Nothobranchius furzeri: one gene and its partners. The protein of the gene in region 3 purifies or fractionates together with the protein of the main gene of each other region. This does not show direct contact. Links are inferred from orthologs where the notes say so. Each region holds a gene or a part of one and is shown on either strand. Other genes may lie near its edges.

The links.
Region 1: the proteins of cep76 (region 3) and cep290 purify together in Homo sapiens (co-immunoprecipitation; 5 studies listed by BioGRID and IntAct, with this or other methods). This does not show direct contact. The link is inferred for Nothobranchius furzeri from reciprocal best matches to the Homo sapiens genes CEP76 and CEP290.
Region 2: the proteins of cep76 (region 3) and cep97 purify together in Homo sapiens (co-immunoprecipitation; 4 studies listed by BioGRID and IntAct, with this or other methods). This does not show direct contact. The link is inferred for Nothobranchius furzeri from reciprocal best matches to the Homo sapiens genes CEP76 and CEP97.

Annotation. Positions count from the first base shown.
Region 1 is NC_091744.1:50,579,319-50,582,896, forward strand, and holds part of cep290 (centrosomal protein of 290 kDa), read left to right. Parts: intron 1-209; coding exon 210-415; intron 416-686; coding exon 687-838; intron 839-1,136; coding exon 1,137-1,248; intron 1,249-2,885; coding exon 2,886-3,341; intron 3,342-3,419; coding exon 3,420-3,578. UniProt on the Homo sapiens protein: Involved in early and late steps in cilia formation. Its association with CCP110 is required for inhibition of primary cilia formation by CCP110.
Region 2 is NC_091754.1:25,617,070-25,621,257, forward strand, and holds the start of cep97 (centrosomal protein of 97 kDa), read left to right. Parts: upstream 1-1,320; 5' UTR 1,321-1,529; coding exon 1,530-1,614; intron 1,615-1,716; coding exon of another isoform or gene 1,717-1,853; intron 1,854-2,199; exon of another isoform or gene 2,200-2,382; intron 2,383-2,555; coding exon of another isoform or gene 2,556-2,666; intron 2,667-3,135; coding exon of another isoform or gene 3,136-3,211; intron 3,212-3,338; coding exon of another isoform or gene 3,339-3,544; exon of another isoform or gene 3,545-3,874; coding exon of another isoform or gene 3,875-3,911; intron 3,912-4,188. Other genes in the region: rpl24 (large ribosomal subunit protein eL24), read right to left, coding at 1,717-1,853, 2,556-2,666, 3,136-3,211, 3,339-3,544. UniProt on the Homo sapiens protein: Acts as a key negative regulator of ciliogenesis in collaboration with CCP110 by capping the mother centriole thereby preventing cilia formation. Required for recruitment of CCP110 to the centrosome.
Region 3 is NC_091745.1:49,054,257-49,058,586, forward strand, and holds the start of cep76 (centrosomal protein of 76 kDa), read left to right. Parts: upstream 1-1,488; 5' UTR 1,489-1,898; coding exon 1,899-1,961; intron 1,962-2,318; coding exon 2,319-2,504; intron 2,505-2,612; coding exon 2,613-2,703; intron 2,704-2,789; coding exon 2,790-3,014; intron 3,015-3,092; coding exon 3,093-3,278; intron 3,279-4,101; coding exon 4,102-4,199; intron 4,200-4,330. UniProt on the Homo sapiens protein: Centrosomal protein involved in regulation of centriole duplication. Required to limit centriole duplication to once per cell cycle by preventing centriole reduplication.

The DNA of each region.
Region 1 (3,578 bases), on a different chromosome or scaffold from region 3:
GCCTTAGCTTCATGGTATTGTGGCTAGCATTGTTCTGACTGGGATGATGTTTCATTGTGCTCCGACCAAATGGTGCCATCAGCGCTACTCTAGAGCTCTCACATCTGAGTCAGAGTAGTTCCATTTAGACCTCTAGGTCTGACATGGACACAGCCACAGACCTGGTTTGGTGGATTCCACCCTGAACACGATGTTTTATTTTTGGTTAGGTGTGGAACCTGGCATGGCCAAGTCAGACAAGGCGTCCATCAACAACGAGATGCTATCTGCAGCAAGACAAATCACTACCTCAGAGATGAAGGAGCTGAATGAGAGACAGAGAGCCGAGCATGCCCAGAAAATGTACGAGCACACGAGGAACTCCCTCAGACAGGTGGAGGAGCGCAACGCCGAGCTGGAGTCCAAGTTTGCAGAAGTAAGACGCCAAAGAAATCACGGAGGATTTGTTTTCTTCTGTCAGGCTCTAAAGGCGTGGGCATCAGCATCACAGTGAGCTTTGGTCCATCTGAAAACATACAGACAGTGCTATCTTACATTTCCAGGTGCAGAACGGGGTTTCACCTCACACACAGCCTGTGTGGAAAGACCAGTTCGCTTTATAATTGCTGACCCTTGGCTGCTTGATCTCCTCTCATCTATTAATATTTTCTTTTACCAAATAGTTTTGTGGTTTTGTTTTCCTTCAGCTCACAAAGATGAATGCGGAGGCCCAGAAGACCGAGCGGGAGCTAAGAGATGAGTTGGCAGACAGCGTCAGCAAAGCTGTGAGCGATGCAGATCGAGCCAGGATCTCAGAGCTGGAGAAGGCGGAGGCCGAGCTCCGCTTCGAAGTCTCCAAGTACGTTTCACGCTGTCCCGATACTCCGCTATCTTCAAACACAACCCTGGTGATGGATTATAGAGACAAGAATGTTTTCACAGGAATGATGACTGAAATTCAACCGTTTTTCATGGGCAGGGAGTAACATCAATATTTTAGAAACATGAATGATCTGTTCCTGTTGTTGTGGATTTTACAAATAAAAACTTTAACGATCGTCTTTAGAGAAATGTATAGTGTAAGTGTGTGTGTGTGTGTGTGTGTGTGTGTGTGTGTGTGTGTGTGTGTGTGTGTGTGTGTGTGTTTATTTTAACAGGCTGCAGGAGGTGTCTGATGTGGCGATGGCTCAGGTGTCTGCTCTGCAGGCCCGACAGAAGTCCAAAGATACAGAAGTAGAAGCTTTAAGGAGACAATTACTGGACTTACAGGTAACTGCCAGGGTCCTTGTGTAGGGGATTCCAGCAAATACCAGTGTTGCTTGTTTTATTGTTTTATTTGTTAGTTTCTATTTGTAGATGGTAGCACCTTCATCAGTGACTATAGATGTAGAAGATATAAAGCAGGATTGCTTGATAAATTGATTGAACAGAAGAGAAACTTGTGTTAAACAGGAAAACGCTCAGATTAGAAAAGCCTCACAGATCTATGTCACACTGAAAGCTAACGTTCATGGACCCATCTTGGCTCACGACAGGAAGGGCTGTTGTTGGTTTAGTGTCCAGGAGAGAGCAGAACACATTTGGGCTAGCAGAAGCTAACTGTTAGCATTAGCAACTTCACCACACAGCAGAACTTCATGCTTGAGCTATTTGTGGAGATAAAACATCAGTGTTGCAGAACAAACAGTCAGAGGTAGAGTCACATTGCTGTTAGCCAGTCAGAGGAGAGATATATCAAAATCTGGAAGTAAGACTCCATTTCCTGCCATCTTCTGCTCACCTCTCCTCTGAATCACTTCTAGTTTCTGAAAGAGGAGCGCTAGAGCTTTTTTTCCACAGAGATCGACTCTAAAGGGATTCATTTATACTAGAGACCACTGGAGATGAGTTTAAGAGACTCCCTCCCTCACCTCAGGTCGCCCAGTCATCGTGCTGTTGTGTCAAGAGGTCCTGCTCCGTGTCAAAAAGATCACGTCTCATTTTCTACACCCCACGGTTATTCACAAGTCCCTTCTCCCCAAAAACAAGTGTACTTGTTTTTCATTATTGCGTTTGGACGTGTTACATTTCAAATCACACCCTGTGATTATTTCTGCTGCTTTAATAATAATAATAATAATAATAATAATAATAATAATAATGCATTGAACTTATATAGCGCTTTTCTAGACACCCAAAGACGCTTTCACACACTCTCACATTCACACACTGCTAGTGATGGTAAGCTACTTGTAGCCACAGCCGCCCTGGGGAGGTCTGACAGAGGCGAGGCTGCCATTTGGCGCCGTCGGCCCCTCTGACCACCACTAAGTACCGGCCTTGTTTTAAACCTCCAGACTGAATCTGAAACAGCTTAAAACTCTTGTTTAGTTCCTTTACTTTCTCTCACAGCACTTGAACAAGTCGCCCTGAGACTAAAAATAACCGAATGAATGAGTTTCACACCTCATCTACATGTTTTTCAGGCTGGTCTACTCTGAAACAATAAGAAACGTTGTCTGTGGACACGCTGAATGGAAGCACAATCCCACACTGGATGAACACATTTCAGTTTACAGCAAAGCTCGGCTAGCTTCATTAGAGGCTGTTCTTCAAAAGGAAAAACAAAAACAGAACATTTGTTCACTTTTAACCCAGAACAGTTCCTCTTGCCGTTCCACATTGCTGCTCACCTTAGTTGAGGCCATTTTGAAGTTGGGAGTAAATCCCATCTACCTGTTCTTGAACAGCCTCAGATCAGAGAAATGGAGTTTTCAGAACTGACGAGCTGACGATTCCCGCCAGATTTGCACTTCAGTTCTGTAGGACAGAAAGGCTGTTTCTTCGAACTGAGGCTGTTCAGGAAGCCATCTGCAACAGGTAGGATGATAATGTAAATGCTCGATGCTCTGCATCTGTGTTTTTAGTCCCAGTCCGACGAGAAGGCCCTCATTGCAAAGCTCCACCAGCACATTGTAGCCCTGCAGCTCAGTGAGTCGTCTGCTGTGGGGAGGCTGGAGGCCTCCGCCACCCACATCCAGGCGCTGGAGGCCTACAAGCTGCGTGCCGAGCAGCGACTGGACACTAGCGAGCGAGCTCTGTTTCTCGCCCGCCAGGAGGGCAGGAGCCGCTCCATGCACCTTCGGAAAACCATCCAGTCCCTGCGCCGGCAGTTTGCCGGAGCTCTGCCTCTACCTCAGCAGGAGAAGTTTTCTGTGACTCTAATGAAACTCCAGGAGGACAGAACAAAAGCTCAGGAGGAGAGGAGGAAGGCAGAGGAGGAGAGGAGGGGCGCAGAGGGAAGAGCTGAGGAGCTGGAGCTGAGACTGCGAGGGCTGGAGGAGCTCATATTAACACTGAAGGACATTAAAGGTGCCCAGAAGGTCAGAGGCGATTGTTGTGTTTCAGATATTTCTGAGCTGATGTTTTATTTCCTACTAAACCAAATCTAACCTGGACAGGTCACTGAGTGGCACAGGAGGATGGAGGAGGCTCGCCTCCAGGAGCTGAGGAAGGCTAGGGAGCTGGTAGTGCAGAAGGAGGAGATCTCATACCTGAAGAAGCTCGTGAAGGAGCAGGACCGAACCATCAGCTCTCTGGAGGAGGACATTGTTCAGCTA
Region 2 (4,188 bases), on a different chromosome or scaffold from region 3:
TGTAACTGTTGTATAACAAATGTAGCATGGACAGCCATGCCAATGCTTTCTCATGGAAAGCAAAGGACCTGGTAGCATTCCTATTGAAATAACTCCACCGACTGAGCCAATCAGTGCTGAGCAGCGTACGTCACGCACACTCAGTTTCTCATAAAACAAAGATGGCTTCTGAAACGGAGTTTGCTTTGGCTTTGTTCGAAATGACTTGGACATGTCTTTAAAACCTCAACATGAAGTGCTAAAAAGCCTTTGTTTAAAAAAAAAGATGTTTGCACTGTCACTAGATGCCATCTTTGCCTACAGGTAATAAATTACAATCGTCACTCGCTTTTTTTTTGGTGATTGGTTATTTTTGAGCTGGCGAGTCCCACCCCTCATGGTGCTGTCTGCCTCCGAGTATCCCGACTCGTCCTCTGTAGAACAGACAAGAGGACGAGTCTGGCACACCAGGCTAAAACAGACGCACACATTCATCAACCTTTCTAACTTGCTGAATGTTAACTCATTTACTGCCATTGACTTAAGTCGTCATTTGCATGTTTTTACTGTGTGGGCATTGGAACGAGCCCCCGCACCATGAGAACAAACAGCTCTAAAGCCGATCTTCGCATACGTCACATGATCAGGAAGCAGAAAATCCATGTATTAGATCATTTGGGGCCGCTACTGTAAAAAAAAAGTGAGGCGCGAACCGGAAAAGCGGAGGCTACATTATTAATAACATGGCTGTACAACCCACCCTTTAAAGTCATCCTATGTAGCACTTTAAATTTAAAATTCAAACACAAGCTGAAACTACTAAAAAGTATCCATAAACACAGTTTGCTTCGGTCATTATTTAAATGATCCAGCAAAAACATGTTATAGAAAATTGTCTCTTCCTTTACCTGCTCCGAATGAGAAGCTGTAGCTAAAGTAATGTAATGGCATCACTGTTCTGATAGTCAGAACTGCTTCCCTTTGAGTTGCTATCAGATAAGAATAAAGTGAGAGCATGTTTAGGACTGAAAACATTGAGGTCAAACTGAGGTTCAGTGAGAAAAAGCTCCAACATTTCATTCACCTCAGTAAAGTCAAATTTGATGGTTTTACTGAGAAAATAGGAGCAAAGCTAAAGACACAACATTATGTCAGATTTGACCATTTCTGTCTGCACTAGTTGGGAACAGTCTAGTCTGCATGATTAGTTGGAACAAAATGTGTGAATGGGGTAAAAATAAGAAATGTGAGTGCAAAAAAGACCCGACCTAAAGTCAGCAGCAGTCAAACATGTTTAAATTTATAAATTTGTTGCATTAAATTGTTAAACTCATCTGCAAATATGTGTTAACAGCTAATGTTTAAGAAATGATGGGATGTGGGGAAATGGCTTCAAATTATTTTATAAATAGTAGGAATGTCAAAACAATGATAGTCCAAATTTCAAACGTTAACCCTTCCATGGCTTAACCCAACCCTAATTTTTCTTTTTAATCTTAGCAAACAGCAGCAGTGTTTTTAATGTTTACTTCCTTCTACTATTACTGTAGATGCAGCTTGGCAGTTTGATGGATTCAGTCGGAAGTTGGTTTGAGAAACTGTACTCGGTGATCCCTCACAGCCTCATCAATACCAGTTAAGTGTGTGATCCCAGTCTTTAATCACACTTGTTGAAACCAGTCTGGTCATGTGTACTCCGGGTCGGTTCCAAGCTTTAGTTATAATTTGTCCACTGACCTGATGGCCTGCTCCCTCTGGGCCTTGCGGACCTCGGGTTTCTGGTTCCTCTTGGCCATGATCTCAGCCAGGGAGGCCCCAGTGATGGCCCTCGTGAATTTTACTGCACGGCGGGTACGCTTCTTTGTCACCTCTTCCTGTTGACACAAATGACATTTACTTGTACCATGCTGAATGTGACATTTTAATGTGCTTTGCATGTCAACAACACACAACTCTAAAATCAGTAAAACTGGTACCACTAACACAAAATAAACGAGTTAATGAAACACTTAACTATTTTATTTCTAGGACAAGAACACTTTAAAGGACAAAGACTTAAAGTTTGAAATGAACATTGAGCATGCTACAAACCCTTACTTGGGTTAATTAAAACAGCAAAAATGCAAAACTGACTGCACCGCTTCAAGGAATTTCATATTTTAATTGTGAAAACTGTCCATCTTGCAATACACCTGAAATAATACAAATGGGTGAAAAATATTATGTTGGAGAGTTTGGAGGCTGGCCAATGCAGAGATGCCAAAAGAAAGACAGTCAAAGGCCAGTACTATGATCCCCAGTTGTTCTATGGCTGCAGGTGTGGTGTGAGCACTGCTGTTAAACTGCAAAACACAGTTCAGCAACAACACATAACATGGACCATCACCATGCACATCGTTCACTCGCAGCCAAATATGCTTGATCAACTTAATGCATGAATAATGGTGTGAATAGAAGAAAATTTACAATGAATGTTATCAATTCAAAACCGCAACATTCAAAAGGACCTTCCTAAGAAAACATAAATAAATCAGAAGTGCCTCGTCCTTGAAGACTAGTAAAAAGCTGCCACTTACAGACTGGCCCTTCTTGTGCTTGCGTCTGTACAGCACAGTCCAGTTAATCTGTCTGGGGTTCCTCTTAGACAGGAAGGCAGACTCGCACTTGGCGTTCAAAAACTGGAAGACCTGCCAAAAACATTTAAATATATTTGATTATACAGAACGTCTTACATTCAACACATATTACATTACTAAAACGATCAGGTTAAAAATACTTCCAGGGCTAGATCAGATGGTAAATGTTGCTGTACTGACAAGCGATATGGTCCATTAAAATGTAAGTCATACATCATTAAATCGTACAACTTACTTCTAATGCAACATACATTACAAAAATAGATAGCATTTACACTTGGTAACATTTTGTGGCTGTACATTTAGAAACATTACATTTGATCATGGAAATTCGTATGAGTCGCTTAATGATGACGTTGGTTGCTAACGTTAACTGTAGCATGTAAAAAGGCTTTCAGAAGATACAACAGAAACGGAGCAATAACATTTCCGATACGATGAACTTCATTTAGAGAAAATGTTAATATCTATTACAGACCGGCTAAGTACAGAACCGGTGTGGGACACAAGATGAAGTTACCTTTCCGTCTATCCTGGCATATCGGCGGCCATGGCCGGGGTATATTTTATACCCACTGAAACTGCACAACTCAACCCTGAAAATGACAAATATAATACATCACAAAAGGGAAAACAAAAACAATACATTTTTATATGGCTAACGCATTAATCGTTTTTATTTAAATGTTGAGATGGCTTTAGATTTTTATTCGGTACACTTACTTCATGATGGCTACGAGACGGCTCACAACCGGAAAGAGAGATGACGGAGGCGGAAACAGAATTAGAGTACTTTCAAAGTACACTTTTAATATCGTTTTAGGCACTTTTCTTCTTTCTTTTGGATAAATACTAACAAAAATCTCAAACCAATAAAATAATAATATGACTACAATAAGTTCATACAATATTTCTCTCTTGCCAAACATGCGCAGCAACAAAACGTAAAGAAAAAAACAAATGTATGATGCAAATAAAAAAGATTATAGTTTTACACTGAATCCTATATATTTAATTTGACGTTTTTATCCAGTCTTTTTTTTTAATTATGGTTTTTCACTACAACTTGGCTGTCGGGACGTCGGCGCGCTTTTGGAAAACTGTAGTCTTTTTAAGACGAAAGTCGATGCAATATACCAATGAAAGTGAATAAGTGAACTGCATTTCCCACAATGCCTTTCGCACAGCATCTGACAACCTAACGACGCTTCTTGCTCTCCCCTTGCTAGCTAACGCTTGCCGTTGTTTGGGGCAACAAGATGGGTGTATCAGATTTACAGAGTGATATAGTTGATGGTAGGTGGTGTAAATTTTGTTTTGTTTTTACAGAAAAAGTAACATTTCCGTGTTTTTTCTGGACATTGGAGTGATGGCTGCATCAGATGACTACCGCTAGCCCGTTAGCATGATTATGAGCAGATCAAAACATCCTGTGTCATTTCTGTCGTCTTACAATGCGCGCAGTTTTGTGTTAAACACATCAAAGCAAAGATTCTTACACTGACCCATCATTTTGCTTTTAAATGTAGGGATAATATGCATTTATTTTCCCTTGATTTTGGTGTTTGATACA
Region 3 (4,330 bases):
GCTCACATATACTAATGTGCCACAAACAGGACGTTGATATCATCAACCATTCCCATTTTATTGAGGTATATCCATAGAAATGGCCCACCCTGTACAGCAGTTTGAGGTTTAACGTTTGAGTTAGTCAATTGTGTTCTCAGCAGCCCCTGAAATAAATTATTAGCTTTATTGCCAAGTAAATTGAGAACTTCATATATGCGGAATTTATTTGTGGCATTTAGTGCAAACAGGCCTTCGATGAGGAAAGTCAAAAGGAAAATTAGGACGCACTGCAAATGCAAATATAAAATGCCCATGGCAGTAAAGACGTGAGGGAGTGTTCTACTGATGAAACCATAACAGAGGAAACGTTTGAGTTCTGTTGGACCTCAGACTCCTGCAAAGAAGGAAGCATCAGAAAAACTGTTCAGGATCAGAATAATCCACAAATAATCTTTGCCACCTGCATCCTGGACTTCTACGATCCAGATTGTATCAATGAAACAGATCATAATCTGTTCTTCTCATCAGTAACAGGAGGTCATAAACCACGCCCATCTACTTCCGGACCATGGGACCCCGGAAGAACAATATAAATGAACAAAACTATTTGAGATGTGAGTTGTAAGAATTTGGGTACAAAGTAAAAATAAGTATGGCGAGATGGGGCATCCTTGGCAGATACCATGTTTTAGGTAAAACCAAGCCCCCACAATGCGGGTGAAAAATTAAAGCAAACGCGGAAATGAAATAAATTGCAGTTCCACCCTCATCCGCTGGGGGCTGGTGTCAGAAGCGAGCAAATCCTCATTGACTCCCATGTTAAAAATATCAATTTCACAGCAGAAATAAACATGTTTATGGCCTGGTACCAAAACATTTTTTGGTTTAAATTATCTAGTTTACACTCATGACAACTCTGAGGGGGGTGAATTTTTTTCTCACTCTTCTGTTTAAGTGTATTAAAAGCCTAAAATTCTGTATAATTAATGAGCATCCGACCCATGTGACCGCCGCCTCAGACCCACGTGACCACAGATGGATTTCTTTGTAAAAGTTGTCCATCTTTCCAACAGAAAGATTTGCCTGGACCAACGTAATGTAATAACAACGTAACGTGATTACGTAATTATGTAAGGTTCATGTTCAGCCAATCAACTACTTTGACGTCATCGGCAGTCGACGGACCCCGAGCCGATCTTGCACCCGAACAGATCTTGTACCGACACCGGGTTCCAGTAACTCATTTATTATCTTAAGACGAGGCCGTTATTGTGGAGATGGAAGTACACATATTTTACAGTATTTGTTTGAGGAATCATCACAGATTACTCAACAGTAAGATAAATATATATAAAACGTAGTGTTATTCAGTTGGTTTTAGTATTTTATAACTTAATGTTTTATGTATTTTAAAATAAGAATTACACAAGCACAAAACAAATCAAAAGTACAGAAATTAACGCGACTAAATTGCTGACTAAATTAATTAAATTTAATTTGAACTACAACTGTGGGTCCTTTTATGGAGAGTCGCTTGCATTGATGACATTAGGATAACTAATATTAAGCCTGACTAAATTTAACAATGTTTTTAGCATAACCACTTTAAATGGGGTATTTCAATGATTAGTTTAATATTTGTAGGATTTAGTGAAATTGAAGTAATCGTGTTACCTAATAACTGATACTGTTTAGTCATTTTACATTTATTTTGTTCAGGCATCAGCGGAGGCAAATACCTGCGCGCTAGCTTTTTCGCCAAAGTTCAAACGTTCAAACTGGTCTGTGAAGAACAGCAGTACAGAAAACTCAATAAATGCACACGTCCATAGGGATTATAGCTCAGACCAGGAATAACGCTTTTATTATTGTTAGGTGAACGTTTTATTCTGGGTTCATCATTAGCCGAAGCTGCAATGTCTCTTCCTTCAGAGAAAGCTTCCGAGCTGAAGCAGAGAATCCACAACCATTTACTGAAGGTGAGCCAACTCTTTACTTATGTAGCTAGCCACAGCTTGTGTTGTTAATGTGCTGAAGCGCTCTTTGTGTGTGCGCGCGTGTGTGTATGTATGTATGTATGTGTGTATGTGTGTGTGTGTGTGTGTGTGTGTGTATATGTATATGTATATGCGTGTTTGTGTATGAATGTATGTGTGTGTGTGTATGTATATGTATGAATGTATGTATGTGTGTGTGTGTGTATTTATGAGCCAGATAGAACAAACCCAACCTAAAGTATTCTGTTAGTAAAGTTTATTCTGAAGCGGTGCTTCACTAACGTGTTTCTTGTTTCGGCTAAAGTAAAAGCCTCATAATGAGTGTTTATCTGTGGTCAGATGGACATCCATGGGAAGATCCGAGAGCTTATTGCTGAGACTCTCGGAGAGGATCAGGGCTCAGGGCATCGCTCTCTGTCTGAGGCAGATGTCCTTCGTGTTCTCCAACGCAGAGGCATCATAGACGATGTGATGAAAGATCTCCACTTTACCCAGGCTCCCCTGCACCATACAGATGTTGTTCAGGTTAATAGCTTTGGATATTCCAGGATTAAAATGCCAGATAACATTTGAACCTGATCAAAAGCAGAGTCCTTTATTTAATTTCCTAACGAAATCTGCTTGTTTTGTTAGGGAACAGCTCCAGATGCAGGACTAAAACCTCCTCCGAAGCCCACCACTCATTTTGGAGTGTTTAACCCAGACGTCCCTCTGCATATGAAAAGTAAGAAACTTTGCTTACATCTATAAAATATCAAACTGCACAGTTGCACTGGTTGATGTTTTATTTGCACTCCTCATTTTTCTCAGCCAACGTTGATCCATCTAGACGGTATCTTCATCTCCAAGTTCTTGGAGGGAAAGCATTTCTTGAGCACCTCCAGGAGCCAGAGCCTTTACCTGGTCAGGTGTGCTCTACTTTTAAACTCTACCTACACTTTCACAACCAGAGGTTTCACTCTAAACCAGTACCCTGTGCCTGTGAACCTGACCTGAGGGAGGGTTTCCTGCTGGAGATGCACAAAGATGGCCTCGGTAAAGGATGCAGCTGAATGAGTACATCAGCCCTTCTGTAGTCAGCTTTTACGTCAGAAGGTTTCTGTGGGATTACAGGAGATGGCAGTAAGATGGTGGATGCCACAGACATGCTGTCCATATGTGACCCGGTCCACTTTGTGCTGATCAAGACAGACACCTCTGGTGAGACAACACTTGTCTCCTCCTACTTCCTGGACTGGAGGATAGTTCTCAGCTCGCCAAGTGGCAAGACGTGCTTTGCAGTGGAGCTGATGGGAGTTGGTGAGCAACACACACAGCTGCTGCGCTAGACTCTGATGTTTTTAAAACGGTGAGAATGGATAAAAGTTTAATAAGTTCATCTTAAATCCCCTTTTAAATGCTCCAAATGAAATCTGTGTTATGAACACAAAGCTTTGCATTGGATCGGTTAGCACATATGGGACAGCAGGAGTTTAGGAGCTGGAGCGGCTCGCCCAGTAATCAGAAGGTTGCAGGTTTGATCTCCACTCCGAACAGAGAATGTTGCTGTTGTGTCCTTGGGCGTTAACCGGCCTTGGTCGGAGGGACCGGTGGCGCCAGGGCAGCTGTGGCTACATCATAGCTCATCATCACCAGTGTGTGAATGACTGATTGTGTTGTGAAGCGTCTTGGGGGGGCTGTAGAACCCTAAGAAGGCGCTATACAAATACAGACCATGTACGAAACCCCTCAACAAACAAGCCATGTTACTTCAGGGCGGGGTCTTAAAACGTATTAAAGGATGATAAATGAAATCAAGACCCTTATGAAGTCAAATCAGTTTAGTAAAATCTTTATTTGTTTAGTGTTGATGTGTCCTTTAAGCTCGTTTATCAGCGGTCCTCTCAGGGTTACGTACAGCCTCGCTACAGAGGTGCCAACGTGATGTATCCTCCTCACTTCTAGTCTAAATGGAGACTTCAGTAGATGCCAGCATGAAGAAGGGCACGTTTGCAGAAGTCCAAGAGCTCCACAGTTGGACAGCTGGTGGAGACGTGTAAAGGCCTCAGTGCTTGTTGTCTTTCTGCTCGTGCTTTGATTACAGACTGCTGCAGTCTTTGCTGATAGGTTTGTGTGCCACCAGGAAGTGAATGCAAAGTCCCAGCTGGTGTTTTAACTGTCAGCCTGGAGCTCTACCCTCCTCTCTCCAAGCACCTGAACAGTGATGTCATCAGCACACAGGTCAGTGCAGCAGATTCTCTTTACCCAACTGTTCAAGAAAGGATAAACAAAAGCAAACATGGAGACCTTAATGAGCGACTGCTGGTTACCGTGGTGACCCTGGCAGCTTATCTAACATGTCTTCTGATCTT